3 linked regions of the Oryzias latipes genome follow. The protein of the gene in region 3 purifies or fractionates together with the protein of the main gene of each other region. This does not show direct contact. Links are inferred from orthologs where the notes say so. Each region holds a gene or a part of one and is shown on either strand. Other genes may lie near its edges. The genes, in order: polr2g, rpap1 and gpn1.

What was found.
Region 1: the proteins of gpn1 (region 3) and polr2g purify together in Homo sapiens (affinity purification with mass spectrometry; 4 studies listed by BioGRID and IntAct, counting the BioPlex papers as one, with this or other methods). This does not show direct contact. The link is inferred for Oryzias latipes from reciprocal best matches to the Homo sapiens genes GPN1 and POLR2G.
Region 2: the proteins of gpn1 (region 3) and rpap1 purify together in Homo sapiens (affinity purification with mass spectrometry; 3 studies listed by BioGRID and IntAct, with this or other methods). This does not show direct contact. The link is inferred for Oryzias latipes from reciprocal best matches to the Homo sapiens genes GPN1 and RPAP1.

Annotation. Positions count from the first base shown.
Region 1 is NC_019868.2:13,734,393-13,744,767, forward strand, and holds polr2g (DNA-directed RNA polymerase II subunit RPB7), read right to left. Parts: upstream 5,998-10,375; 5' UTR 5,759-5,997; coding exon 5,747-5,758; intron 5,499-5,746; coding exon 5,389-5,498; intron 5,219-5,388; coding exon 5,059-5,218; intron 4,881-5,058; coding exon 4,830-4,880; intron 4,721-4,829; coding exon 4,655-4,720; intron 4,518-4,654; coding exon 4,446-4,517; intron 3,823-4,445; coding exon 3,789-3,822; intron 2,622-3,788; coding exon 2,608-2,621; 3' UTR 2,333-2,607; downstream 1-2,332. Other genes in the region: eef1g (elongation factor 1-gamma), read right to left, coding at 146-275, 377-520, 632-774, 1,077-1,140, 1,228-1,386, 2,142-2,153; uncharacterized protein LOC101155778, read left to right, coding at 6,396-6,464, 6,538-6,705, 6,797-6,896, 9,686-9,816, 9,905-10,192. UniProt on the Homo sapiens protein: Core component of RNA polymerase II (Pol II), a DNA-dependent RNA polymerase which synthesizes mRNA precursors and many functional non-coding RNAs using the four ribonucleoside triphosphates as substrates.
Region 2 is NC_019880.2:11,590,412-11,600,686, reverse strand, and holds part of rpap1 (RNA polymerase II-associated protein 1), read right to left. Parts: coding exon 10,151-10,275; intron 9,128-10,150; coding exon 9,012-9,127; intron 8,892-9,011; coding exon 8,793-8,891; intron 8,656-8,792; coding exon 8,554-8,655; intron 8,476-8,553; coding exon 8,308-8,475; intron 8,216-8,307; coding exon 8,036-8,215; intron 7,962-8,035; coding exon 7,827-7,961; intron 7,760-7,826; coding exon 7,589-7,759; intron 3,302-7,588; coding exon 3,144-3,301; intron 3,031-3,143; coding exon 2,860-3,030; intron 2,786-2,859; coding exon 2,590-2,785; intron 2,486-2,589; coding exon 2,376-2,485; intron 2,296-2,375; coding exon 2,100-2,295; intron 1,526-2,099; coding exon 1,379-1,525; intron 1,272-1,378; coding exon 1,129-1,271; intron 1,044-1,128; coding exon 611-1,043; intron 1-610. UniProt on the Homo sapiens protein: Forms an interface between the RNA polymerase II enzyme and chaperone/scaffolding protein, suggesting that it is required to connect RNA polymerase II to regulators of protein complex formation.
Region 3 is NC_019861.2:37,307,679-37,317,953, reverse strand, and holds the start of gpn1 (GPN-loop GTPase 1), read right to left. Parts: upstream 8,993-10,275; 5' UTR 8,961-8,992; coding exon 8,823-8,960; intron 8,255-8,822; coding exon 8,161-8,254; intron 7,347-8,160; coding exon 7,240-7,346; intron 6,443-7,239; coding exon 6,405-6,442; intron 2,689-6,404; coding exon 2,610-2,688; intron 2,539-2,609; coding exon 2,444-2,538; intron 1,883-2,443; coding exon 1,837-1,882; intron 1,765-1,836; coding exon 1,618-1,764; intron 953-1,617; coding exon 870-952; intron 787-869; coding exon 747-786; intron 677-746; coding exon 586-676; intron 515-585; coding exon 410-514; intron 1-409. UniProt on the Homo sapiens protein: Small GTPase required for proper nuclear import of RNA polymerase II (RNAPII). May act at an RNAP assembly step prior to nuclear import.

The sequences.
Region 1 (10,375 bases), on a different chromosome or scaffold from region 3:
ACAATAAAGCTTTCCGGGGGGAACATAAGAGATGTCAGTTCACCTTTGAAGCCAAATGTTGTGCAATAAAACTTATTGGTATACAAAGGGAAAATAGTTTTTAAATGAATCCAGGGTTCTAACAAGTACATTCTTGTTGACTCACCATCAAACTGTGCCATCTTTTCACACAGCTTGACATCCCCGAGGACGGCCTTGAACTGGGGCTGGTTGACACAGGTGACAAACCAGCGGGTCACGTTAACATAGGGCTGGCGGAAGGAAGGCTCCAAGACCTACAAAAGATAAAACAGGTCAGCTCATTTATGGAAAACACACCAGCTCAAATAATGCTGGAGGTTCCACTTAACACAGTGAAAAGTGTCAAGCTGCATACTTGTTTGTAGAGCCAGAGCAGGGAGCAGGCCACCGTGATGTCCGCAAGGCTGATTCTCTCACCCACAAGGAAAGTGCGAGTGTTCAGGTGTTGGTTCAGGACGGTCAGGATCTTCTTTACATCTTCTTTGGCCTGCTCTGTGGCCTACACACCAAAAAAAAAAAAAAAAAAAATAGTTTAAAACTTAACAGTTAGCCAGTGATTTAGAATCATGTCACAATAACCAAATAATCCAGAAAATAAAGACTTGCATACCTGCTTGTTGAACTGCATAATTCCCAAAGTAGGGAAGACCCATGTGCTTGCTGGAGGGATGATCTCAGAGTCAGCAAAGCTCACCCACTGCAGCACTTGCGCTGCTGCCTGAGGCGTGGCACCGCGCAGGGCATCATTGCTCACTGTAGGCCACAAGCCAGAAAAACAACCGGTTGATCTTTGAAAACCAAAAGCCTCATACAAATTCAAGACAAATGAGTTTCCATGGAATGAACAAAGCAGTTAGTGGATTTATGAAAACACGAAATTTAAACAATTCATAAAACCATACTGCAAAACCCCCAAATTTAGCAACATTTGCTAACAAGGCTTCACTATCGTTTTGCCTCAACTCAATAGAATTGATTTAGAGAATCTGGATAACAATTAAAGCAACCTGTTCTGACCGTTTAGAGAGACTAAGAAGTAAAAAAATGTGACTTACAGTAGTGAGCAATGGCATTACTCTCAAACAGACAGAAGCCGTCATCTCCCTGGTAGGCAGGTACCTAGAACCACAGGATTTGATGCTGTGTGAAACCCAACTAGTTAATGAGGAAAAGAACAAGACTTGAATGTGACTGAGCTGCCCTCACCTTGCCCAACGGGAAGTTATTAATAAAGGCAGGGGTACGGTTCGTCTGTCCGAAGGTGAAGGCAGGGGGGGTGCTGGCGATTTTGATGCGAGCACCACTGTACTGGGCAGCGATCTGGGCTTTGAAGGCCCGCCAGTTCTCCGGGTATGTGTAGATAGTCTGAAATACAGGAAAACTTCTATCAGCTTGTGACTAAATGTATTGAATCCATCTAGTTATGCAATCTCTGTGCACGTTTCTATGATTAAACTGCTTTAATGCAGGTCCAAACCTAATTTAAACTGTATTGTTTCATATGAGAAAAGGTTTAGACTGAGGTAATGTGATAACGATGCCAGCTGTAGCTAATCCTGGCTAATGAATGAGCATATCAGAAACGGAGCACTTTTAAAAAAGATTTTACCAAAAGTAAATACATATGGAATACCAATAGGCTGAAACGCCTCTTAAACTTAAGTGGCATGGTTACATTGTTTTAGAAACAAACTAGAAGTAAGCTAGCTTAGCGCGACTTGTGCTTTTTGTAAGACTAGCAAACCACATCTGATCTGTTCACTTATTTGATTGGTTCGATCAAAAGAATAAAGAGGATCTGGGGATTTTTGTTTTAATCATTCTAAAAAATGCGTCGGTCATAAAGTGGCATGGCCACGGAAAATTTAGGAGCATCATCCCCAGTCTCACGAAATATTGTAACGTGGCACAACCGAGTTAGCCATTAAACAGGCAGGATTGTTAGCGTCTTCTTAAATATAAATGACAAATAAACCCTCTACCAACTAAAAAACAGCAACATGGTCTAATGTGTCTATTAAACGACACAATAACAGAGCAGATGACATAGATACGAGACGGATTGTGACGAAAAGGTTGAAAGAAAACTCCATTGTTGGCCTCCTCTCCATCTTACTCACCCCTGCCGCCATCTTCAGGACGAGAGAAAGAAAGAACGACGGCGCACATCAGTGACGTATTTACGACCGTGACACGTGCCCATCCATTTTGCTGCGCACGTGACTGAGTTTTCAAGTGTTAGAAGATAAATATTGGACACTCCAACAAATACTTTGTCGACGTATGTGATTAAAAAAATGATACAAAGATAAACGAAAAAGTTAAATCTTTTATTACAAAGTACAAAAATGATACAACTAAATTTGAAGGTATGTATTCCACTTAAACCAAATTTATATATATATAAAAACACAAAACTGCAGAATTAATCTCTTGACACCAATTCAACTAACTAAAATAAAGAATGTTAATTTATTGGAAAAAAAACAGCAAGGCTTTGACTAAATCCTACCATAACATGAATATAAATCATGAAGTTATTACTACATAAATTGTCCCAGGTGGTGAGCACTCAGCTGAAAGAAATCAGCTCACGAGACCTTAAAAAAAAGAAAAAGCCAGGGTTAGTTTGATATAGAATCTGTAAACGGCATAATATATATATATATATATATATATATATATATATATATATATATACACACTTCATTATGTGCATTATTCTGTAACCGTGTGGACGGCCTGAGGATGACTAATTTGAACATTGTTTATGACTGACAACATCAGCACAATCTCCACCCGAGTTAGACAACAATTAAAATAATCAATTATAAATCGAACAGTGCTTCTGGTGTTCGACATTTTGACTGAGAAAATGCTTCAGGTTATAGAATTTTTTATTTTTTTTTAATTGTAGATGAACGAGTTGGGCTGGGTGGCAGTTTGGGTTACGCTAAGTTTGCCTTCAAACTTAAGTTAAAATTATATTTTTTATTCAGCAAAGCATTTGTGTTACCAACGTGTGAAAAGTGTTTTAAAAAATAATTTGATTTATGACCTATATCACTTAAGCATGATTATGCATATTCAATGAGTTTTGGTCCGTTTTATTTAACAAGAAGAGCAGCCTCTTTCGTGAAATTTATTTTGAATTCTTCTCTTACATTTGGACAATATTTTATTGCTTATTAATGCCATTTATATGCAATTTACAAACTGAAATCTGACAGATTTACTTTCTGAGTAATACCTTTTCAAATAATAATCACTGTGATTTAAAAATATGAAAATATTATTGACCAAATGTTACCATTAAATCATAATACTGCATTGAAAACTGTACTAAAACAAATGACAATTGTATACTGTGAGGTATCAATTGCGTTGAAAATGTACTGTTTATGGTAAAGAATCACTGAATATTTGGAAGAATTAATAAGTTATCTATTTTGTGAGATAAAGGAAGTTGAAGATCATTTTAAGAAGGTCCTTCATGTAAAACTAAATCCTAAACTTCAGTGTATAAAATGTTGTACGTATGTTTGAATATTAGAATTTCCAAATGCTGGCACTGAATGAATTTGATGACAGTTAAGAAAAATAATACAACACGAATGAAAATAAATTTTAATTTAAAATAGTAACCAAACATATTTTAGATTCTAAAGTATGTGTTCTTTTTATATAAAGATCATCATCGTCTAGTTATGTTGTTGTTTGATTGAAAAAAAAAAAAAAATAATTCTGACTTGACATTTAATACTCACCCAAATAATCATCCATCAGAGATCCGATGGCAAACTAGAAAACAAAGAGGAAACTTGTTTCAATGAATAGTTTTGCACAATTCTTTACATGGGTATTTCGACAAGCAGATGTTTTAGTGAGGTTGCTTTTATTGTAATCAGGCTTTTGACTAACTGTCAAACCAGATCCTGCTGTATTCAAACTAAGCTTGTTGTTCTTCTTTTAAATGGTTTGAAAAAACACCAGAAAGTCAAAGAAAGGAACATTACAAGAATCCATATGGACCTAAAGTCCCAATCCAATCATCTTTTGATCTATTGTTAAATTGTTCCCAGTGGTCTTTTCATTAGGATTGTGCTGCTTTTGGCCAAAAAAAACAACAAAAAACTGTGATGTTCTCTGGGACATAGTTTCTGCCGAATGGTAGGAACCTTCATCAGAGATTCACCTCTGAGTTGTCAGCGGGACTATTGGTGCAAAGTAATCCTGCGCTAATTTCGTATCAATCCTCCGTCTACACTCTTTCCCACTAGCTTACAGCCCCAAGATGACAATAGTGCGAGGAATTTTTGGAGCTATCCAGTCCTGGCAGCTCAGTCAAGGAAAATGAAGATGTTAATGGATCTGTGTCGCTACTGGTCAAAAGATCAAAAATAATATTTATGGAAAAAACTTACAATGTCATTCTTGTCCACTCGTGTTCCCACAATCTTCAGTCGAATCTCATCATCTTGCTGGATTACAATGTCCTAATAAACACAATAAGAAATGTTCATTAAAATCAAATGTATCACAAGGATTAAAAACTGAAAGAGAAAAGTAGCCTTCAATGTCTCTGCATGCTAAATCTACTATTGCATAAAACAGACAGAGTAATGACACATACCTCGTCAACTGTTTTATAGCAAGGTGGATTGGAGTTGGGATCAAATTCCATTTCTGAAGGGATCGACTGGGAGAATAAAAAAACAATAAAATACACAAACAATAATATAAAAACATACCTACATATTAGGTCAAGATATATATATAGTAAAGTGTTAAATGTTACATAAACTTACATGGCGAGAAATGAAGCAGGACATGGGACCAATTTCTGTGAACAAGCCAACCTGCAAAGAACCCAAATTTTGTTAAAGGAGGATAGAAAATGTATTTAAAGAGACTGGAATTCAGAAAAACAATTCATGAATCTACGTTTTCCATGTGAAAAACAAGCGTTCAACAAAAGGATCTATTCCATGGCAAACATCTTAGAAAGGCCTACAACAGGTACTTATGGGTCCTTACCTTGTTAACCTGCGTGACCACAGCATCCACCACTTCTCCTTTGAATGGGCGGAACACAATGGCCTTGTACTTGACTGGATAGAGTACAAAACCTCTACCTGGCTGGATCACACCTGCCCCAATGTTGTCAATAGTAGTGACAGCAATGACAAAACCATACCTGGGAGAAGGGACACAAGCAGGAAATACTGTAGGGATGCAGTTCTAAGCTTTTTTATACAAACCAGCATTACAGAAAAGTGAATGCAAATGCTTGTTATTTTCAGGACAGACTAGAAACTTACAAAGTAATCACACTTATGCACTTATTTATGATTAGCTGTTACTCACTTGCCAGTGCAGGTACCTTCCACTTCCGTGAAGAGTTTCTGTTTCACTGTGTTGAGCAGATTTGGACCAAAATACCGTGGATGTAGTAAGATTTCATGTTCCAAAGAAATCTGTAAACACATCATGATCATGGCGTGGTTATGATCGTGCTAACTTAAGAGGAAAAACTTTCCAAATAACATTGCTGTTACAAGCCGATCCAAACAATGGAAGATAAAACTTCGCTGATATATTTGGTAAAAGGGATTTGAAAAAAGTTGTGTGAAGCCGCCTCATTATCGCGCAAAAACCGAAGACGAAAACCTCCCTTCATATCTATTAATACTCTCATAAGGGGTGGAAAAGTTCAAGTACTTACATGATAAAACATATTGTTGTATATAGATGTAGATTCTTTCTTTGATTGTTTTGCACTGTTTTGTCCAAATTGTGTTTCCCTTATGCTAAAACAGCTAGCATGAAGGCATCGGTGTGTCAAAACGATCTCTTCCGGGTCACATGAGATAGTTGCCCTTTCATTGTTTTAAAAGAGAAGAAATGGCACCCTTGTATTGTTAATATATAAAACCCACAGAATGTAAAATGTATATCGTGAAAATCAAATGTGTGGTTATAACTTTGAATTTGTATTTTTAAGAAAGGTTACCTCAGACCATGTTCAGCACTCATGACTGCTGCCCCCTACTGGCGAGGAGGAGCCGACGCAACAGGGCGTACTAAAGAACAGGCGTCACTCAGCGGAGCTTATTCATTGGATGATTTCAACCGATTTAAGATCTGACAAACACAAAGCTAAATAGCGTCTGTGTGGCCACACGCGACGGGAAATCACCCCAAACAAGGCTCATGTTTGGACGGCATTCAACTGTAGCTTTTTCGAATTATAATATCTGTAGATAGTAATGTGTGAGATTTTTATTTTTTAAAGTAAATAATTTTAGGAAAGCCCTGGAGTATTTGAGGCGACTAAAAAGCGTAAACCAACCACAAAAAAGCGGTCTGCATTGATGTGGAGTGACATGGCAGGCAAACTCGTCTCCAAGTTGTTGTTTCGGTCGTCCTTACTAACTCAAGCTGTGAGTAGTTGAAAAGTCTTGTGTGGTGTTTGTTGAGTCGTGCTTGTTGCTGATTCCTTCGGTGTCCACTAAGGCTCCGCCCGCGTCAAGCCTCTTACTCCAGGGGAGATCTGGCGGATCAGCGGCGACCAGACAATCCTCCAGCGGCGGTCCACCGGAGAAAATAAGTCGTTACCCGATTCCCTACAGAAAAAACCTCCCTTATGACATAGTGGAGCTTATGGAAGAGGTTGAGGCAAAGGTAAACGCTCACAAATAACGAATTCGACGTTTAAATTAAGGTTTACACTGTGAAAATGTACATCTTTCTTTCTATGTTTTGCTTCTCACAGGGAGGTTTTTTGCCCAATGTCTTCAAAGTCCTGTCTCATAGACCAGCTGAGTTCAGAGCCTTCTTCGCCTACTACAATGAGTTAATGAATAAAGATACAGGTGGGTGTTGCCTTTAAATTACCCCTTATTTTGGAAGGACGTGAAGATGAATTCAGAGACTCTGACACACACACACACACACACACACACACACACGTTCAAACTGCAGTTCCTGCTCCGCTCCGTTCACTTGCAGACAGATCCATGTCCGTCTCTGTTTTCCTCATCCCAGCTGGTATTTGGCTCAAAACTGTACGGCTGGATAGCTCGCCGTTTTAGTTGCACCACTTATGTTAGGTTGGGCTTGTGAGGGGCTGTAGGCTAGTGTAAACAGATTGGTGACGGGAAGTGGGGGCGGGCTTACTCCGTGCCTAGAATCCCGCCAACAACCCAGATGAATTTCTCATGAGCTGCTGCCGATGTGCAGAACATATGTCCTAGAAAACGACACAGGTTTTTGATTTTGGCTAAAAATGACATAATCATAATAAAAAGACCAGCGGTAACACTTTAAAATTGGATCAAAAGATGGTTGGAGTGAGATTTAACCCAGAGGTGTCAAACTCATTTTCACTGAGGGCCACTTCAGCATAGTGGTTGTCCTCAAAGGGCCAGATATAACTTATACATGTAACTAAATGTAATGAAAAATAAATGTAACTACTCCTTAATGTTAAATAACTCATTATTTATTTGTTATAACTTTTTAAAATTACAGTTGCATAGAAAACATGTTTGCTTGTTACTCTAGCACAAATACTTTAGAATTTTGTCCGCTTATTAAAACCCATGATCAAACTGTCCAAATAAATGAAGAAAAATAACATGAACTGAGCTAGAAAGAACATGTATTACACATGTAACATTTTACAAAGAAAGGCTGCACACAGCTTTGCATCCAACTGATGGTTTGATGACAACAATTTGTCTGCACACACATAAGACCTGCAAACGTTGAATAATTACAACAAAAATAAATTATTTTAAGGAATTAAAAACTTTTATTCTCTCCCGGGCCACATAAAGTGACATGGCGGGCCACATTTGGCCCCCGGCCTTGAGTTTGACACGTGTGCTTTAACCATTCACAGTGGGTTTGGTTGGATGTGGTTCTAAGTAGTAGTCTAATGTTTGTTGTAGTGGATGTATTTTCAATCTTTACTGGAAAAGATTTATATTTCCTACTATGTTAAGCTGACCCGCTACGTAATTGATACACAAGTTATGTAGCTTAAAAACATTCAAACAAGCTAATTTGGCCTCTGTCACTCGAAGCCGACTTCTCCTCTGTTGCATTACACAGGCCCCGCCCCTTTCTCTCAAGGCTGGCTCCGCCCTTGTCAAAATAAAAAGGCCTGTCCCTGCTACCCAAGGCTGGTTCCATCTCTGTCACACCAACCCAAATATCCTGTTGATGCATATGGATGGCTCCACCCCTTTGACTGGATGTGAGAACTGGTCAGAGCAAGTGTGACATCATCCATTAAAAAAAATGGCTTACTTCAACGAAATGAAGTCAATTCAGTCACCATTATCTTGGGATTTGGACGCCGCCATGTTGGAGCCAGATGACGTTAGGAAACAGTGATTGGTTTGAGTTGGTCTGAATCATCGTTTCCACTCTCACCAATCAGCACTGAGCCTATTGGAAGGCCACACCCCCACCAATTGAAAGCAGGCTCTGGAGAATCTGTCACACGTTTCTAACTTTCGATGTGAGACCAGAAAAAAAAAATAATGGGGAAAAATATAGGATTAGCAAGAGGAGAGAAAAAGTAGGATAGAAGAATGATTACAGCTGTTTCTCTATAGAAGTCTATGGGATTTTAGCCTCTTTGAGCCGACAGGTACTTCTTGTTTAGAACGCGAGGGAGGAGGGGTCACAGTTCTCATACATAGTCAATGCTCCACCCCCTGGCGCATGAGAAAGGCTCCGCCCCTGCCACACAGAGCTGGCTAACCCCTTGTGTTGCTTCTTGGTTTGTTTGAGTTTGGTTAGAGGACTTTATCAAAGTTACCACCATGATAAGATATCTTTACAATCACAGTTGCTCAAAGATTTGCTGACAGAAATGAATCAATATATTTTAGACAGCTGGCCAAACACAAAAACAATTCATTCTGTTTATATTGTATTACATTTTTGGTGTGCAAACAAATCAATTTACTGTAAAAAATGAAGAAGAAAAAAAAGGTATCTCTCTACCAGTCCGGGGACTCCATGAGTGAATGTAGACGTGCATGTATTTAAATGTGATGTCATGACTGTCATGATGTATTGTGATTTTAATGCATTTTTCTGTTTTGTGAAGCACCTTGAATTACTTTGTGTACGAATTGTGCTATACAAATAAACTTGCCTTGCCTTGCCTTGCCTATTGCTCATGCTAGCTCCTGGTTCAGCAATCATTTCTGAGACTGTTTGTCCGTCTGGTGATCCTTTAATGTCTGCACTGGGGAGGTTGCTCTGATTTATTCATTCTGTCTTCTGTGATTGGATAATCTCTTTTTGGAAAAACATTTGTTCAAATCTGGGATCAGAAGTGATGCATAAACCAACAAAACTGTGACTTTGTCAGGTTTGGCTACAGTGATGAAAAGAAAACAAACTCTATGTTTTTTTTTTTTTTTTTTTTGCTCCTTTCAATGATTGGGAAACAGTAAAAAGTTTGAGGCTAGCTGAGGATTCATACGACCTTTTATGGAAAACCTTTTTTATTTAGAGAAAAATGTATTTCATGTCTACCTAAATCAACAACCCATAAGAACAAACACTTTAAAATAATGTTTTTCTTCTTTTATGTTATTTAACTTGATCATAAGTGTGATCTTTTAAATTTTCTTTCCAGGCAACATAACCAAGGCAGAGCGTGAGCTAATAGTAGTGGCCACCAGCATTCACAACAGGTGTCTTTACTGTGTGGTGTCTCACAGTGCTCTGCATCGAATCTATTCCAAGAAACCAACTGTTGCTGATCAGGTATACATATCTCATACTTAAAAAAAAAAGGTGTGAAGGTTTTTAACTAACTTGTTCCAAAACTGCTACACTGTTCTGTTCTTTGTAGGTGGTAGTCAACTATAAAAACGCAGAGCTTTCCCCTCGGGAGCTGGCGATGCTGGACTTTGCGATGGCCGTGTGTCGCTGTGACACCATCACAGAGGAACATTTCCAGTCCCTGGAGGAAGTCGGCTTTGACCGTGAGGACGCCTGGGACATCGCGGCCATTGCTGCTTTTTTCGCCATGTCTAACAGACTCGCCCACTTAACTGACATGAGGCCCAACCTTGAATTCTATAATATGGGCCGTGTGCCGCGGGACAAACACAAGGACGAGGCCAAAGATGGTCATTAAGGAGGGAAGGTTACATGATTGTCTGAAAGCACAAGATAAATGGGAGATTGGTAGTTTCCAAAAACACCAAAAACAAAAAGAAGTTCTGTTTGACTTCCACTCTTTTGTAATAAGTTGTATTATGTATTCTCTCAGACCTGCTGGGAGCCATCAAGGCTGGATTTTAACAATGTGTTATGCATA
Region 2 (10,275 bases), on a different chromosome or scaffold from region 3:
GATTTGTCTGAGTCGGTCTGAGTCAACGTTTCTATGGCAACCACTCTCGCCAACCAGGAGTGAGCTTGTTGGAAGTCCACACCCCCATCACTTGGCAGTTATGGGGGTGTTTCACCCACAAAAACAAACAGCCAGACTTTTGCAAAGATGGATGTGCATATTGTGAAGCCTTATAAAGGCATTTTAGCTGATCACAGCTAGCTCTGCGGAGAATGTGGGGGGGGGGGGTTAGCCTGGGGGCGGGGCGTACAGCGCAGAATCTTCCTGGAAAGCGCCGTTTTTCATTCATCTACCTCAGCTCCTGAGAACCCGCTCGTTTTTGTGGGTTGGGAGGGGCTGGTGCTCAGAGCGCAGGATTTTAGAAGAATAGTCAGAAATGTGTGCATGGATCAAAATACCACCTTTGGGGTTTCTTTTTGTGAGGAATGAACATTATGATAAACTTAAAATTTAAAAAAAACGGATTTTGCACGGCCCATTAAAACTGAATGACAGTGTGCTAAAACAAGGTGACAAATTTGACTAATGACTTTTCATATTTTCAATAAGAATTAAAAACCAGTAAATCTTGAGGGCAGATAATAAATGAGTGCATTCTTCGATTTTGTACCTTTAAGGACTCCTCCCTCCAAACCTCCAGCAGCAGTAGCCACTGCAAACAGTGGACAGCCGCCTGTAGAGCCCCCGCTGGAAGCTCCTCTACAGCCAGCCCCCCGCCGCCAGACACTCCTGTCTGCTCGTACAGTTTGATGAGGGGGAGGAACGGCCAGTCAGATGGCAGGGTGGGCCCCGTGACCTCCGGGAGGAGGTGGGAACTGATCCACGGGTTGCGTCCAAGCAGGGCTTTTCGGGACGCGATCACAGACGGTTCCAGATAGGCGAGATGAGTGAGGAAGCAGCCCCGTATAGACGGCAGCTGAACGCAGGCTTCTCTGAGGAGAGCGCCAACAGTCTGTAGAGATGGAGATGGGTGGAGTCTGACGTCGTCGTGAAGCTTTAGCTCCCCGAGCTCCACAGCCTCTGGACCTCCACTGTGTCCCTCTCTTAACAGAAAAACAAACAACAAAAACTTAGACTAACTATCAGACAATAAAGGTGTAATTATCCAGAGGAAATAGTTTTTCTTACGATATAAAGTCCTTGTTGAATATAACAGTAGACAGCAGTTCATGTGCCAAGTATTCACTGCCTGGTAATAACCAGGGAAGAAGCACCAGTGCCACCTGGTGATAAAGTGAGGCCTGTTTCGCCACCTCTACATCGACAGGAACCTGAGAAATGTTTAAAAAAGAAAAGGAAACGGAAGAAAAATGAAACAATGCAGCTCTTTCAAAATGACAAATATCTACCCCACAACTCAAAGTAGATCCACACCCACCAGCCTGTGAGCCATCCGCAGCAGCAGGTACAGGAGGAGGTGTTCGTGACGAAGGAGCCAAGCCCTGGACACAGACAGAGTGGGCGTGGACTTACTGCAGGCCTGCAGGTAACCAATCACAGGCTCTGACAGGAGGAAGCTCGAGAACTAGAAAGAAGGAAAGAAATTCAGGCATTTAAGGATTAAAGAAAAGCACTCCAAATAGGCCTTAATAGAAAACTTTAGGGACAGATGAAAAAATTCATATAAAATGTAACCATTTACAAAAAAAGAACAACTTTTTACTACTTTTTATGAGACTGTCATCCAAAGTACAACAAACAAAAACTGTCATAGACTGCTCTATTCTTACCAAGAAATAAATTATTTAACAAATAGTAAAAAAGGATTTCCCTTTGCTTACATAATGGATAACTCCCTTTAAAAAAAGAAAGAAAACTGGAATTCATTTTTTATTCATTTTACTTGTTTTCATTTATTCATAAAATATGAAAAATATTAGATTTTTGTATTACTTAAAAAATATTTAATAAAATGATTTATTTAAAAGCAGTGCTAAAGTTTTAAGAATTCTACAACTAATGTCCTCTCAACCCCAACACCTCAGATATGAGAGGTTTTTGTTATTCACCACCAGAGGGCAACACCTTTGTAACAATTTCACTACATGTTTTGAATGTAATGCCACATTAATGGGTTATAATAATGTGTTAAACTCCACCTTGCTGCTGAGACCTCTATGGATCCCTGTGATTGTTTCCAAGAGGGATCCCAATCCGATCACAAGAGCAAAAGGGGAGCTGGGAACAACAAGCCCAGAACGTTCCTTCCATCCTGCGCAGGCTAAACCTGGAAGATTCGAGGTCGTCTCTGGACCCGGATGGTGGGACTGAACGTTGCAAACCAAAGAAGAGGATCTAAACAAGATGAAAATGAAAATAAACAGCCTTAAAATGTACATTTTGAGAGAAAAGAGCAGCAGAGTTATCAGAAGTACCTCAGGTTGTTCATCAGACCTTGCACAACACTGTGACACAGAAGTGGAAGAAGAACATCGGAGGTCAGAAGCTCCAGCTCCTGAAGAGTCTCCACTGGTTTGAAAAAGGTCTGTTGTATATGCATTAAAAGAAAAATATAAAATTATTTGTTTGTTTTTACTTCAAACTTGAAATACCTCGATTGCTCTGCAGATAGAAGACAGAACGGAGTACCTGTCTGGAGAGCTGTTGGTAGTACGCTTGGAGATAGACCAGATAAGCTGGTATCAGGGTCAAGCTGCTATCTGCCTGAACTGGACTATCAAGGCTTTTGACAAGACCCTTCAGATGCCCCAACAGGGATGCCTGCAAGCCCGAGACGTGACCCCAGGAAACAGGAGGCGGAGGAGGGCACTCCTCCCCCTGAGCGCTGCGATGAACACAGACAAAGCCTCATGTAGACGAAGGCTTCAAACCAGAACAGAGTCATCATCCTGCAGGTACCTGAGGACGCCAGCCTGCAACTCCTGATGGCAGCCGGCTGCGTGTGTGACCTGTGTGAGCAGAGAAAGCAAAGCCGAGAGCCGCTGCAGCTGCAGAGGCTGGAGAGCGTGTGAGGGCGGCGCTAAGCGATGCCCAGACTGGAGTGACTTCAGTAAAGCAGAGTACAAGTCTCTTCAAGAAAAAACAAATGTGAAATCACAGGTGATTTAACAGAACATTAACCACAAAACTACTTTTAAGGTGTTTTCTTTGGTATACAGTGTAACCTTCAGTGCTTCACCTACATGTATAGTTGGCATGCCTGTCCATAACCGGCTGCCACCGCCCAGAACCTGTAGGCCTCAGTGGTGACCCTGAGAGCCTCGGACGGTTCCAGCAGCAGCTCGCTGGGCTCAGCGCCCAGCAGACGCGACAAACGCTCCTTCACACCCAGAGAGTTCAACTAGGAAACAGAGTTAAAAACTCTTTGAGAAATACAAAAGTGAATGTGGCAGCAACAAATAGTCCGTTATGTCATTCGAATATTTGGAATAACCTTTCGACCCATCGATTGGCCTCGCCGTCACACATTTGTCTAGACTTCTGATAAGCTGCTAATCAAACAGCAAACATCGATCCAGGAAATTTTAGCCAAAAATTCAACCAGTGTGACTCAGAGATAAATACCTGGGTCCTGAACAGTGCAGGGGAGGTTTTACACATTCCTTGCAAGATAATCATGTGTAAATTAAATACGTGTAAAAACAGATAAGTACACAATAATCACTGTTAAATTCATTCACATCTAAGTTTTCTAAAGTTCATCCCACTGTTGGTCTTCCACATCCAAATGGTCCAAAGGGAACATTATTAGAACATTCTAGCACACCGTGTGGCCACATGTCTTTGTTAAAATCAATGACTTGATCATTTTTTCCTGCCGTCACGTGTGTGCTGTCTACTGTGATGCACTTGGTCGTTTTTATGTTATAGTTAAACAGTGATGAAAGTCAGGTAAGGAAAAAATCCCTGAACTTTTCTTTGAGCGATATGGCGGGCACAGAGCGAAATTTTGGAAAAATACGTGGTCTTAGATGCATTCTGGTGCATTCTGGCAGCTAGTTATTCACTTCTTTATCAAGAAACTAAGACTAATTGGAGCATCATGATTTGTCATTCAAACCCCTAGTTTGACTCTCCATTAAGGACTTGCTGGTCCCAAAAAAGAATTTGGAAAATTGCTCAAAGTAACACAATCCTACAATCTATGCTTTTCCTTAAAGCTGCAAAACATACAATTGCTAAAATATAGTAACATCAAAGCCCCAAATGGCAAAAAGAACACCAGTAACTATGATATTCTATGAAAATACCTCAGTTATTTATACATTATTTCTGCTTTAGAAATGACTGATGTACAACATCCACTTGCACTGTTTTCTCAAACTATAATTACATCAAAATATGGGATCTGCTTTAAACTATAATTCTATAACATAATACATCAATTCTTTAACACCAATACTAAGTAATCTGGGAAATATCAAAACAAACATAAAAAATAAACTAAATATTGTAAACATTATTTTTTAAGGGAGTGCGGGTCCAAACCATCAAATACTTATAATTAATGTTAACTATACTGAACTAAATCATGGTAATTAGGAAATACAAATAAATTAGATAAAGAAATGTATTCAAAATAAAAACTGAAACTCAAAACTAAAGTTGAAATTATTTCAAAATGTGGTTTTGAGATTATTTTACACAAAGAAGTATTTGACCTACACTACCTTAAAAATCTTTTTTTTCCAGCCAAGACCACTTCAATTTGTTTTTTATCGTCTTCTCACAACTGAGGTCGTGACCAGGCTCAATAATGACGATGCCTGCCATTATTTTAACACAAATTTGATCGCAAACTCTTCAGATGTGTTTGTGAAAGTTTAGCGTGGGTCCGCCAGTTTTGGTCTCTAGGGAAGCAAGTCACGCTGACCACGTGGTGCAGACAGAGCCAATCAGACCCATCGACGCATCCGAAAGCAACTAAAACGTCCCGTCATTGGTCAATTAGGCCCGGAAGACGAGAGATGGCCACGACCATAGAGGAAGCGATCTGCGGAGAAATATAGAAAATAAAGCTAAAATTAGCTGATTTCAGACCATTTTTTAATCCGGAAAGCGATTTGTCCGTAGAGATCAGGTCTTTATTTCCCGGAAAGTACGTTCGGTTTGCTCAAAAACCCGGATTTCCGGGAATTCCCGGAAGACTTTCATCACTGTTAAATAAACCTAACGTTTAATTAATTTATCTCATTTTGTATATATTCAATAAGGATTTAGGTCTTTTCGATCTGCTTCAGACAGATCGATCTGGTTGGATTGTAGGAAAAGAAATCGTTGAATCAATGAAACGTTACACCCCTCATAAGCACAGGTTTGAATAGCAAGGCAACCAAATCATAGTGATAACACACAGCTCTGTGAGCAGAGCGTAAACTCACTTTCCAAAAAAAACTTTATAGCCAATCTCAGCTCTCCGTTTGTGTTCCTCTGCTTCTGCAGCAGACTCTGCCTTGAAGTTTATTCCTGTGGTAGGTCATTTCTAGAGTTGTCCCAGGGAACTGTGAGCTTTATGAAATGTACAGACTACAAAATTCTCATCTCGTCTTGTTTGTGCAGGCAATATTCTAAAAAACTATAAGCTGGCTTCCCAAATCCAACTCTCACATATCGGTTTTTCATCTAGAATAGTTTACCCAACAGCCTGCTAGTGTGCTGCACTTATCTCTTTGATGAACAAACGTCTGCTTTTTTCCCATATTGCTGCATTTTTTTCTATTTACAATCTGTGAGAATATGTGGAGGTGAAGTTTTCCCTGAACACAATAAACATGATGGATCTCTACCTGCCTGCATCTCCCATTTCGTTTCTTTCTCTTCCTCGTGTCATCAGAGAAACTGCTTTTGCACATGTTGCACCTTCCTCTTGAGCTTTGATTTATTAACAACCAGCCTTCTGCTATCAGCCACAGCTGCTCTGCAACTGCTGAGACAGACTGAAACCAAAGCCGCCACATTCATGCAGCACCTGTGCATCAATGCTGCCTGAAGCTGTAGCTCCGCCTCCTTTGGGCTTCCACTTCCTTCCTGCAGAAACTTTAGGGACCTTTGTAATCTTCACTTTGAAAGTTCAGAATTGTATATAATTTTAAGTATAGACTTAATCCAATATAACCATATAGGAGATTTAATTCTATTTGACATGAAAACTGAAAAACAAATGAGAACATGAAGTTTCCTGTCTGATATTTTGTACTTTACTTTAAATGAAGCTTTAACTGTGCAAATTTGACTAAAGTGCCACTTCCCCTCATCTCTGGACTCCACCTGCACCAGAACCAAAAAATGGATGAATTTCACGTAAATAATTCATCTTAAAAAGCAAAAACCTCTTGAAAAACATATTTTAGTTAATATGTTTGAGCAGCCAACTTGTTTATGACCTTATCATACTATTGTTCACAAATATAAAAAGCCATGAGTAAAGTTCTTTATCTAAGATCCGAAAATGCTTCAGCTGGATTAAAAGTTGCCCAAAGCATGACTAAAATAAAAACAATTTAAATAATCAACTATCATTTTTAAAGGCAACTGGAGTAAGAAACTTTAAAATAAATGTAAAAACTTGTCAGAGGAGAAAATCTGTGGTAGAACAAAGAAAAAAAACATAAATAGATATTTATGGTTTATTAATATTAAATATTTGATGCAGCATAAACCCTTTTAAAGAACGTTCTGTTCCTAGAGTTAATTAAATTATATCTGTAGTGATTGTTGTTATAAATGTTATGAATAAATGTGTATGTTTCCCAGAGGCCCGGGTAAGGGGGAGTTGGAACAAAGTTCTGATCCAGACTAGCTTCTTAAATCACATCTTTAATGTGATTTTTCAGAAAAAAGGAAAACAAATCTACAGTAACTGACTTCCTGAGCATAATACAAGTCCAAGTTCTTCCATTGATGGCACAGGTATATATTCAAGATTTGGTGCCATAAGTCTTTAGTGTGTCAGTTTAAACTCGATCCACCTGTTCTGGCCTCAATAGAAACTAAACTTTCACCTCCACCAGATTATGCATTTATCCAACTCTTCCAGAGTGAGTCTTTAATCATTGTGTCATCGTTGTGTCATTATAAAGAAAATTAATCTTAAATGTATTTTTCTGAGTTTTTTTTTAATCAAATCAACAGCAACAAAGGGCGAGCTTACTCAATGCCAACAGTCCCACCCACAACTCAGAGGGCAATTTCCAATGAACTATTGCCGCTCTGCAGAAACTTTGTCCTAGAAAACAACACAGGATTTTAGATTTAGCCTAAAAACGGCATAAACATCACTAAAAGACCACTGGGAAAAAGCATATTAAAGCATATTAATATGCTTTAATATTAAAAGATTGAGACTTAAAAGAAATGAAGGAACACTTATGGTAATAATCTAAACTGATGGTTGTCTGCTGGTATTTTTTTATTTAACCTCTGCTTTTTGTCTGTCATTATTTTACTATATTATATATTTTTATTTTGCACTACTTTACTTTGTAATTGTTTTAACCCTTTAACTGCTTTTTTAATGTTTGTTTGACTGCAATCATATTAAGGCGCCACATAAATTAAAGTGATTTGATTTCAAATGCATCTCAAAGCAGCTAAAATGACAGTTTTTTCCAGTATTAAAAATAATTACCAGTCTGGCACAGTTATGTCTGCCAGATGTAGCCAAGACCCTCAAGAGCTTCATGGCGCTGGGCACAGGAACTCCATATATGGACTGAGGGTTGGGTGAGGAAGATGCCGACCAGGAAGTGGGGAGAAACTCTGACGTTACCGTCTCCATCAGACGAGGACAGTTCAACACCTGAGGAGGAGATGAAGGGCTGGAGTGATCCAGTGAGTTTGTGAGCTGCTCCTTTCACTCTTCTTACCTCAGTGGCAGATGACAGCGAGTGTCGGGCCACACGGGTCAGGATCTGCAGGACGTCCTGAGCCACCCGAGGGGACGGCCGCATCACCTCAAGAATGTAGCGCAGCCTGGGGAGCAGCTTCATCTTTAATAAGCCCTAAAACATAAAAGAAGTCAGCCGTCTGGACTCAAAGGAAGCAGAAGAAAGAGCAGGAGAAGTGGTTTGTTCACCTTGACGACATCCTGCTGGGTAACATCAAAATCACTCTTCTGTTCCTCCTTTTCTTTGGCCGTCTGCTTCATGCATCCATCCACCCCTTCATAATCCTCCTCCTCATCATCTTGGGAAGAGGGCAGCAGAGGGAAGGAGGCCAAACCCAGGTACCAGGAGAAAGTAGAATCCATGCACTCCTGAAACATTTTTCCAAATTAAACTTTTTTGGGGGGGTTTAGAATTCACAAAAAAAGAAAAAAAAATGAGGAGAATCTCAGGAAAATCTAACCTCATCTTCAGAAGACACGAGAAGGGCTTTAAGCGCGTGCACAGCTGCAGACATCACTCCCTCCACGCCATCGTCCAGGGCAAAGCGGAGCAGGAAGAGCACGCCGGCGTCCAGCAGAGTGGAGGTCACGGTGCCTCTAAGGGCAGATGCGTACTCTCCAGCACGCGCCTGAAGGACAAAGACATAACTACAACGAAAATACTCCCTAAGGATGAAGATGACAGACTTTCGGGTCTGTTTGTGTACCTTGGAGAGGATGTTAGCCAGAGTGTTGAGAGCCAAACTTCTCTGCTGGATGAGCTGACTGCGAGACAGCAGGAACAGCTCCTGGAGGGAATATCCCGCCCGCTATGGAGACACGATGAATGTCAGAGTGAGAGGTGAAGGATTCCATTCAACTGATTCAACTGATTCTTGTCAGCAGAAGACAAACAATTATAATAAAAGGCTCATATTCTTATGCTTTGTGAACCAGTTGTGCTGACCTCAGGCTCCTCTCCATGGTGGTGCAGCCCTAAGTGGGTGGGTAGATCTTCAGTGGGTGGCATCAATGTCCCGGCAAAGTCAAAACGGGCCTGCATGGCCTTTAGGAACAAAAAAATAAGCCGTTTTGTCTGTTGGTTGCTACAAACAAATACAGTTCAGACAAATAAATGGAGTTCAAGCAACAAATCTGAGCAGAATTGCCGGAATTGCTCATTTACCTTCTCAGTTCCCTTCTTCCTGGGAGGAGGCAAGTCTTTCATCCACTCCAGCTTCTCTGGCTCCAGTTTGTCCATGTGGACCCATTCCTTCTGAGGCTTCACTGGCAGCTCCACCTCTGAATGTAAGGCAAACACTGCCAGTAAGGAAAAACTGTCCAAACACCTGGACGTACCAGCTAAAGAAAGACTTATTTTGGTTGAAACCAGTTTTGAACAAAGCTTTAGAATTTTCAAAGTGTCTTCTGACCTACAAGGCCCTCAAGAGGTTTTTTAGCTCTACATTCAAAAGCAGCATCTCTGCAGGTCAGGGCTCTATTAATGAGTTTGTTCTGGGCAGCCTGCATGTTTTAGAAAAAAACATGTCAATGCTGAAAGTTTTAGCTCACTGGTTACTACATCATTCAGAATGAGTCAAGCAGCAGCTTTACTCCATGGTAGGAGAGCAGCCTTGACTCTGAAAAAACAGGGATGAGGAGCGCAGGGAAGATTCATCGGGGGGGTCATCACACTGCCCATCCCCAGAGGACTTATTCTCTCCTGCCCTTAAGCTGACGTAAATGAAGAAATACACATATTGGTGCTAGCCATCAATTGTATTTTTTCTTTTTGTTTTGTTAATTTGGGATAGCAAAAAAAACAGTTTTAATATTTAAGTAAAAGGGGCAAAAAATAATAGGTTTTTTCTTTCTGCTCCTCTTTCAATGTCCAAAAAATGTGTATTGTTTTGTTGCTTTTTGTAATTGTTTGGTGAAAATAAAATAAAGCAAAACAAAATTTTCAAAAAAAATAAATTCATTACAATAAAATAAACAAAAACACTTTTTTGACATCTGAACAAACCCAAACAAAAGATTGAGTCAGGTCCTGGTCTACAATACATTCCAAAGACTTTTACATTTGTATTTTTATCAATTTGTTTCTTCATTTGGACAGATTTTATGATTCAATATCCAAAACCTTTTAATCAGTTTCCAATCAAATATTATGTCATGTGATTTCAGGTATTTTTGTTTTCATTATTTTCAAATCTGAAAAAATATTTTATAGTAGTGTATAGTTTAAAATAAAAAAATAGCTTAATTTAAATGTTTTTCTAAACTGTTTCCAACAATAAACTAAATTCTGTGTAGTTGAAATACCTGTAATGATTGCTGATGGAGGCTGTGGCTCCTCTTCTTCCATGCTCCTTTCACAATAAAACACAGGACCACTGGATGGAGGTCCACCTGCCTTTTCCAGAGCGTCTTCCTTCTTGTTTGTTTCC
Region 3 (10,275 bases):
GTTAAAATGCAGAGCAAACATCCCTAAAGACTAAAAAATCTGTTTTAATGTTTATGTAAATATGGAAAAAAGGCTCTTTATGGATTTTGCCATCCTTTAAGTTTCCTTTGCTTCGTTTTTCATCGCAGTTTTGCCGCCTTTTTCCCTCCAACACGTTTTCAAACTGAAAGTGTAAAGTGAAGCCAGTGAGTTTGTCCCTTAATGAAGATACTTTCTACAGAGATGTTTTTCTTTCTCGTCGTGCCTCATCTCGCCTCATGATGGCGCTCAGGGGCCGATAGAAGTTGATCACATTGTTCGATGACACAGAATTTGGCTCGGTTGCCACAGCAACCAAACAGGGGCGGAGTTTGTGATGGCCGCCTGTTTGGTTGCTTCTACGGAGTCCGTCCACCTTCGTCTTCCTCACCTGTGTGGTCGATGTCGTCGGTGTCGCTGTCCTCCTCCTCCTCGTCATTGTCGGGGTTCCCACGCATCATGATGAGGTCACTGGGTCCCGCCTCCTCGCCGCCCTCTGCGGTCGGACACAGAGTCAGTTGGAGTTAAATACAGGGTTTTTTAAAGAGTGGGCGGGGCTGTCTGCACCTGTGGGCGGAGTCCCGGTCACGTTCACGGCTCCCAGGTCCTTCCTGAGCCGCTCCAGCTGCTCCTGCTGCTTCCTGCTCTGCGCCTCCGCCTGGGAACAGGAGCGTGACTCAGAGAGCGGCCGGCGGAGTCGACCCCACACACAAACGCCAAACACTCACCAGCTGCTGGCGGAGGCGTTCGTACTCAGGCCGGTACTCTCTGGGGAAGGAGGCGGAGCTTCGTTACTTTCACCGTATGAAGCAGCAGAGGGTTTGAAGCTTCGTTATGCTTCCCAGACTCACGTCTCGTACTCTTTGGCCGCGTCTTCCACCTGAACGAACAGATCGTCCAACCCGCTTCCCGTGACAGCAGACACGCCCACCACCTATAGAGACACGCCCACTTAAACTCTGCCTCGGTTTGTTCTGTGCTATGAACAAAAGTCCAGACAGACTTTGAAAAACATCTACACGACACACGGCGTAACCTTCAGGAACCGGCAGGGAGAAACAGCAGAACACAAACAGCTAACAACGTTTAATGAACGACAGTGAAGTTAAAAAAGACGTTTCTACGGTGTTCTTCTCCGGTTTCCTCTCCTACAGCGCTCCTCACAAGACCTTTATTTTGAAATGTCAACAGAAAAACCAGGACTTTAACTGGATGTTCAAAGGCGCAGGGCTAACTTCAGCCAAACTGTGGTGTCAGAGGAGCACCGTGATGGAATAAACAGCCACAGCACAGCAGAAACCATGAAAACTGTCCAACCTTCCACACAGCTCTAAGCCAACGGCTGAAAACAAAGCAGGCCTGCAGACATGGATGTTCCTGCTGTGTTTTTTATTATAAATAACCTTTGTAAATGTTTTGACCACTAATACTAAAATGTTTTATCCTGAAGTGTAGCTCCTGTGCTAATAACTCTGGCATATTTCTGTGGAAGCAGCTGCTGAAACATTGATTAATGTGTCCTGACAGAACTTGGATTTGGTTCCCTGTAGATCTCATGGGTCAGCGCTCTTTGCACCTCTATGGACTCCTGACTCTCACCCTCAGGTTGGTGTAGAACTCGTCCAGAACCAGGCTCATGGACCGGGTCAGGTTGCTGACGTAGGACGTCTCCTGGTTCAGCGCGTCCTGGAAGGCCTCAAAGTCCTGCATCCACTCCACGGCGAAGCCGTGGTCGATGATGTCCGTCTGCAGAACCAACAGACAAACGGTCGGCGGCGGGAACGGCGGCGTGACGGCGTGGAGGCGGGACCGACCTACCTTGTTCATGACGACGATGAAAGGAAGCTTCGTTTTGTAGAGAATGCTGCAGAAAGAAGAAAGGATTCATTCAACAAACACCAGCAGGGGGGGCAGCAGGAGGGGGGGGGGGGGGGGATAAAAATCCACATCCAAATCAAAAGAACCACAAGAAGACATGAAGCTGGCGTCTGCGCCGACAGCGCCCCCTGATGGTTGGTTCTACTCATAACTTTTCTTTGTTCTGCTTTTTATTTCCAGTTTTAACGTATTTACAGGAAAAACTTGACAAAAAGCTTGAATGGAAATAATCCGTCTGTTCTGTGTCATTTTTTTATTTTGTAAATCGGTCAACTTTCCAGGTATGAGGGTCCACCTCTGATCAGTAAGTGGCAGGTTTGATTCCCACTCTGCCTGTTCACGTGTCTTTGGTTTGACATGGTGGTCCTTCGCATGGCAGCATGGTGTGTGCACGTGCGTGTGCATGTGTGTGTCTGGATGTAACGCACTTTGGGCCTGAATGAAGGTAGAAAAGCGCCGCAGACGCCGTTTACTGCATGTTCTCTGTGTTTGAGACCTGAGATGCAGCGCTGAGCATTCTGGGAGATTGAACTCCGGCTGCCTTTACCTGCAGGCGTACAGCATGTTGGACATGAAGGTGACGGGGTTGACGCTCCGGGACGTGTCCATCACGTAGACGACCACGACGGGAAAGGACGAAGCCTGAAACACAAACACAAGGTGACGACCACGACCACTTCAGGACGCCGTAGACGACGGGAGACTCCGCCCACCAGAGCCTCCGTGATGATGGTTCCAGACGCCGACCAGGTGAAGACCTCAATCTGACCGGGGGTGTCGATGAGGACATACCTGCAGGGGCGCACAAGACTGTCACCTTACTGGTCCACCAGACCATAAAGGGGCGGAGTTTCCGCAAACACTTTACATTTGGACTGAAAACAGATGTTGACAGTTAAAGGTTGTGTCTGAATTCCCGCCCAAACCCCTAACAACTAAAAAACTATCTAGTGCCCTGGAACACAAAAGCAGGTCGGACGCCACGCTCACTACTTTTTTAAACCGCGACTATGACATCACGATTTCACAGAGTGAAAATCTAGTGTTTTATGACGACCATTCATGAATCCACAGAGTTCAGATGAGGAAAACATTTTTAAAAAAATACATTTTTTCTCAAAAACACAATGCTTTATAAAAGCACACAGTCACAGCCACACACCAACCCCAGTCGCACACCGGTGGCACACTCTGCTGCTGAACACTGGCGCCAACCCCCCACCGGGGCAATGTGGGGTCTGGCGTCTTGCCCAAGGGCGCTTCCTAAGCATATGGGCGGTTAGGGCAGGAATCGAGCCTTCTGATCAGGAGTCGACCGCTCTACCACTGCACCACGGCCGACCCCCATTGTGGTCTATATTCGCAGATCTAGTGAGCATCGAGACTTCTGGGAAATTTCTAGGGCACTCGACTTTGGAAGTGTAGATTCTGACAGCACTAGAAAACGCAGAACGCTCTACAGAATGAGTAGGGAAGGAATTCAGACACAAGCAACGCCATTCTGTCATAAACATGAGTGTGATGTCATCAATCAGGTCATTTGATGTCACGCTAACACAGTTTACAGGATATTGTCGTGGATGGATGTAGGGATGAAGACAAACAAACACTGTTGAGTTCCAACAACCTACGATGAGTCTGACAGCCGTTCAGATCCTTCCAGGTCTCTGGTTTGGTGATGATTGTTCTGATAAATGGTTTGTTTGGTTGCCGTTAGCAACAAAATGAGACATTTCAACGAATCTTAACGAGACCACAAAGCAGACGTGACGTTTTTTAGAGCTGGTCATTTCTCATTAGGGGGGTGTATTGGCGAGAGTCTGGCGAGACGATACGTGTCATGAAGGGCAAACAAAAAAAGACTTAGAAGAAACTACCATTTAATAAAATGGTCAAATTCAGTTTATTTAATGATCATAATGTTAAGAAATGCTTTTATTTTGGTAACTTAAAATATAGAAAGGGAACAGTTAACATTGTCTGATTTCCACCACAAAATATTTTTCAGTATAAGAAAAATAAAGGAATGAATGTTTCTTAACCAATAAAGGCCCGTACACACCGGGACGAATATTCGCCAGGCGTTATTCGCCACGTTTTTTGTGTTCATACCCAGGCGATTTTTGCTGACGATGAGCCGAGTGAACATGCAATTTCATTCCCTGACATTAGATGGCGCTTAATGTAAACAGAAATACTGTACACAAGGTGGCGCTGCTCAACTTTACGCTTCTTAAAGTCGCTTTTCACTCAGAAGAAGAGAGCAAGTATTTACACGCTTGTCAGAATAATACAAAGAAAACATGAATAACATGAAAACATGAAATTTTCGGGAATATTTTTTTGGTTCGGGGATATTTTAGAATGTCCGTCATTATTTCTTCGCGGCTGTGTAGACGCTACTTGGCGTCTATCTTCTTCGCTGGTATGTGTGCTCAGCAAGGGAGTTTTGTGTTTGAGCGCCCCCAAGTTGTGTTTTACTGTAACTTCAGAAGCTCCAGACACGTGTGCAAAAGCGCCATTCTCATTGGTCGTTTAGTTTTTGGCGCGTCAAACCAAAAAAACGAACCCGAGGCGTTTTTTAAAAACTGACGCTTTGACGCCTGGCATTTTTTCGCGTCGGTGTGCACACTCACATTGGTGCCCTTTGTTTAGTCACGAGGCGTTAAACGTCGGCGAATTATCGCGGGTGAAATTCGTCCCGGTGTGAACGGGCCTTAAGGTTGTAAAAGTAGGATTGGGGAAATAAGGTGGTTTATTTTCAATATTGCTAACTGTAGCTTCTCCAGTATTTCTAACGGTTCAGGAGATTCAAAACCACGGATTCTTTCCGGGAACAACAAAGTGATGATGATGAGGCAGCATGACAGGATGAAGGAAAGTTCCTAACGTGACAAAGAGGCTTTGGTTACATGTCTGCACCGCTGCAGCCACGCTTTCTCACACGGAAGTAAACCAACACTCCTCGCCACGGCGTGGGCCTTTTTTCAGAGCGTTGTTCACATCCCTCTGATCCATCAGGCGGCTGAACTACAATCTAATACTGGGAGGTTCTGCAGAACTTTGACCCGCTTTGCCGACAGCATTTTAGCCGATGCTAAGCGCATTAGCCTCTTAGCCGCTGTGCAGCTGCAGAGCTTCACTCGTTCTGATCTCAGCCTCAAAAAGCACAGCAATCCACGATTTTCTATGTTACCGGCAGCAACACGGCAGAGTTTCTGTTCGGTACCATCCTAAGTAGAAACTCAGTAGTTCATGTCTGATAACAACAGAACCAGCTGCTTCTAGCTGAGGTCTTCCTGTAGTTTTGTAGAGCTCATTCTATGTCACAGCATTACACAAGAGAGGAAATAAGCAAGTTAAGATCTCAGTTTATTAAATATCCAATTTTCCCAAAATACAAAGAAATCCATTTTAAAATAATGAATGCAGTCTATCCGTGCAAAGAACTGTTACACATACGTTTTGGTTTTCCAGAGAATAACTGTTCTTTTTGTGATATAAATATTGAAACACTTGATCATTTGTTTTTTGAATGTATGTATGTTTACAGTTTTTGGGAAGATTTCTTTTTTTGGTGCTCTTCAAAGTTTCCCTTTCCTATTTCTATTCAATTACAAAAGCACATTATATTGTTTGGAGTAGTTTCTGGTGATAATCTATTTGATTTGACATTCAATACCTTATTAATATCTGGGAAATTTTTCATTCACAAGTGCAGATTCTTAAAAACCAAACCTCTATTCAATACATTTCTTAAAGAAATCAGTTTATATTTTAAATCTCTGACATTGATGAAAAACAAAAAGGCAATAAAACTGTGTGTTTTCATTGAAGATCACATGCTGTATCACAATCCCTAGTATTGTAAACTACAATTCTATATATTTTGTTTTATTTATTTACTTATTTTCTTTTTCTCTCTTTTTTTGTGTGTTGTTATTATGTGTATGTTTAAAGTTCAAAGAAAAAAAAAAAAAAAGTTTTGTAGAGCTGCTCAAAGAGGCTCCATGTTCTCTGCTGCCAACTAGTGGTTGGAGGTTGAAGTGGACAACAAGAGGCAGACGCTGAAGGACGCTCAGAAATAATGAAGTAAATATCGTCCTGGCAGTATTTTGAATCCATACCATGGATTGATGAACTATCGCCATATATCACCTAAATGATTTTTTCTTACACCCCTATTTCTCATGAACATCATTGCAGGGCACCTGAAATACAGACTTTAATATTGTCGGGGGCTTGTCCGGGATGCTGTTTTTATTCACGAGTTCAATTCTCCCTCTCAAAAGCAGACCGTTTGATGTGATCTGATTGGCTGAGAGGAGAACGGTGTTTGATCCAACAGATTCTGTCTGCGGATTTTCCGTTTTCTAAATGAAGGCATTGAAACTCCTCTATTACCGTTAGCATACAAGCATTCTGCAACCCAGCTACACACAAACCCCTTTAACTCTATTGAACTCTATGGATGTTCATTCTCGGTTATGGTGCCGGTTTATACTGACCGGTGGTTCTGCTGCTTCTTCTCAATGAAATGCATCACCTGCAAGAACCAAAGCACACAGCAGGTCAGTGGGTCCAGCTCTGTTCAGCTTCAACAGTTCCTCTGCAGTTTCACTTTCCATCAGTCTACAGACTAAAATATCCGTCTGCGAGGATTCACATTTTTACTTTCTGTAGGAACCCTGTAAAAAATAAAGAACTTTCAAGTCTGAAGAAACCTGGTTTGGCCTCAAACTGAAGTGTCTTCAGGATTTTTTAACAGCTTTTCTAAAATTCTGTTCTGAGACTTTTACAGACTAAGGTTGTGTCTGAATTCACACCCTAACCCCCCAACTACTGACATCTATACAGTGCGGCACTATACTAAAAAATACATTTAAATACTTTTTTTTTTTTTGCAAAAATTGTTCCGACACAATGCATTGTGGTCTATATTCTAGTGAGCATTGATGCACAGTGGTTTTTTCAGAGACTTCTGGGAAATTTCTAAGGCACTGGATTTTGGAATTGTAGATTCAGACAAACTAGAACATGACGAACGCGCTGTAGAGTGCAGCATGTAGGGGTTAGGGTGGGAATTCAGACACAGTAGAGTCTCAAACAGACAAAGTTCCAACCCTTCTCATGTCTGTAAACTTTTACTTCATGATTTTAACATCTTGTGAGACGCGTTACTTAGAAATGTTATTGTTTTCCATCATTCAGCCACTCTGAGTTTTTTTATTTAGCTCTAGTATCAAACAGCGTTGAGCTCCTTCATTGGCCTCTGAGGTTCTCCAAGCTTCTGCCCGTCGCTTTTCCTCCTTCAGACCAGACCGTACGGCTGGCTGACCTCACCTGGTCGAAGCGCGTGGCAAACAGGTTGAGCGAGGTCACGATGCCGCCGTTCGGGCCGAGCCCGTACTGCTTCATCACCTCTTTGTAGTTGACAGTGTCCCTGATGTCTGCGGGGGGGGGGGGGGGGGGGGGGGGGGGGGGGGGGGGGCACAGCAGAGCAGAAAGCAGATTTAGAATCAAAAACTTTAACAACTTCTTTTCCCAAGTCTGATGCCAAGAAAGGTCTGAAGATTCATCAAGTAAGGGTTAAGTGTGTTAATTCTGATAATGTACACTTTGTCTGAAATTAACCCGGTTATACCATGGTTAAAGAAATGAATTTTCAATCAGTTTTAACTTCTTCATTCTTGTGGTGTTTTTCCATTTGGATCACTTTTTTTTAACTACATAAATTGGACTAGTTAGAACATTTAAGCTATGTGACCGGAACTTCTTTTTTAGGTGTGCGGTTATCACTTTTTATTCCACACCCAGCAGCCAATCAGAATCAAGAATATTCTTACTTTTTCCATAGAGACATAGGTTTATATGAGCTGCCGGTGCTTTTAGCAGTGCGTGGTTTGTGCTGCTCAGACAAAAGTCTGGAAAACATCCATGAGAACAGAATCCAAACATGCGAAGGACTTAAACACAAACTGAAAAAACAAAAAAAAAAACGTCTTTTTCTACTTTAAGAACAGAGAAACAGTCAAACAGTGATTATTTCAGTCACAGAAGGAACCGTCACGTCGATGAAACATTTCTTCTCTTCAACTCCAGGATTCAAGAGTGTCTGAATCCAGAAACCTTTCAGGTTTTCTTCTGAAAATCTTTGACAAAGTTTCCTGGTCTTTAAATGTTGTGTGTTACAAAAACCATAGCAGGACTGTGTGAAACTGTGTGGATAGAGGGTGTGTGTCCAGTAAGTAGACTGTTCCTCACCGATGTTGGCTGGAAAGGGGACTTCGTGGACCGCCGGGTCCAGGTTGATGACGTAAGGAGGAGCTTTGTGGGAATGAAGATGAGCCGTCAGCCTCTGCGGGAAACGCCATGAAGGTGAGAACCAGACAGGAAGCAGCTTGGAATCGAAACGTCTTTTTATATTGTCAATTTATGAACAGTAGTGTTAGCCTGAAACCTTTAAATCAGGTGGAACCAAACAAGAAATTTGATTTCAAATCCATATTTGGTCAGACTAAAAATCGCTTCATAAACATCTCCAATTCAAACTTTATTCATATCAGCTCTAAATCCGGGGCACTTGATAATTAAGTAGTTTTTTGTAGTAGTTATGCTTATGAGTAGTGATGATAGCCTAGTACTGCAGCAGATTACGACTCTTTTCTCCACTTTTTCCACTTCACTACTTGGAATTTCGATTTTCTTTTATTTTTCTCACGTGGCTTCAAATTCCTCCATATATTCAGACATTTTCCGCCCATTTCTTGGTTATTTTCGCTCGTTCGAATTAACATTTCAAACCCAGAATCGTTTCCATCAGGACGTTTGTTGAGATGGGACCACAGATGTGCTTTCAGCACATAGACGGTGACGGAGGATGAAAAGACGCCGCCGGGCGCGCGCCACGCCGGTCCGTCACTCACCTGAACGAAGGTGGTCTTCCCGGAACCCGCCATACCCAGAACCAGCAGGCAAACGGGCCGGTCTCGGGGAGAAGCCACGCCGTCTCCCGCCGCCGAACTTTCCCGGCTCTCCGTTGAACCCGCAGCAGCAGCCGCCATGTTGGTCGCTGTTATGACGACGACCTGCCGTCAAACCGAAAGGGTTGTCGTAAAATATAGAACTAGGAAGAAGCTACCAGCAGGGGGCAGCAAACCCGCATGATTGGCACTTTAGTGATGACAGAACAAAAGTTAGGGGTGGTTTGTAAAAAAAAATGATTACATTTTACAGAAACGTTACCAACTGTATGGCAGTAGAAGGTTCTTGGTGTTTCATCTGGAACAATAAAAGCAGATCAGGAGACTTGGAGGTAGAATGAAGAAGTTCAGAGAATGGGACACTGAGCGGACAGGAGTGCAAGGTGCAGGTAGCAAATGTCAAACAAAAGGTCGTATGGGGTCTTGGAGGAGAGGTGGGTGTGTTCAGGCGAGGCAGAGAAACGGATAGAAGGATGTGCAGCAGGTTAAAGGTCAGACATGGAAAGGCTGGTTCCAGATGAATGAGGAGCATGAGCGTCTTCTGGTTCTGATGTTTTCATTTCTACTCTGGTTCCATCAGATCCATTTAGTCAGAACGAACAAAAACGCTAATGAAGGTGGGCGGATCAAACTCTGGCCCCTCCCATTCAAGGCTTTCCTTTCATCCCCACAGGAGGTGTCAGAAATGTTTCTGTCCTTAAAGCTGATTTCTGTTCAGCCAAAGCATAAAAAACAAAAACAGAAAAAGTTCTTTGTTGCATCTGAACTTTCCATCGCATTAAACACACGGAGCTCCAACAGATTCATTTTAGCTTTAATGTTCTGGTTCTCAGTCACAAAATAACTGTTTACTAAACCTAAAGGATAAAAAGCTAAACTATAGTAACAGATAATGAGAGCTTTTCAAAGTTAAACTTTCTTCTAGTAGTGTTTTCATTTAGACACTAGAGTCTGAACATCTCACTTAAAAAAGAAAAAACTTTCTGCAACCATTAAATGTTAGGATCCTTCATAATTCAAGAGGTTGAATTGCATTTTCAAAGCGTTTGTCACAATCATGTTGTTAGCATGTTTAATGCAGCTACATCTGAAGGAAATAACACCTTCTTAGACCGGTTTACAGTTTAATTCCATCCAGATGATCTTAATCTGTGGAGATTCGTGGTCGGTTTTCACAGGACTCCATTCTTGAGGTTGGAGGCGGATCTTTATCGTTCCTTCTTCAGATCAGTTCAGTCAGACATGAAGAAGCTCCAAGTCCAGCTGTCCCAAAGGACGACGTCCTGAGATCCGGAACGAGGAAGCAAAAGGCGACGGCGGAGAGAAAAACGTCTAACGGAACCAGAGAGGACAAACGGCAAAACAACGGATCATCGATGGGAAGAAGAAGAAGGAA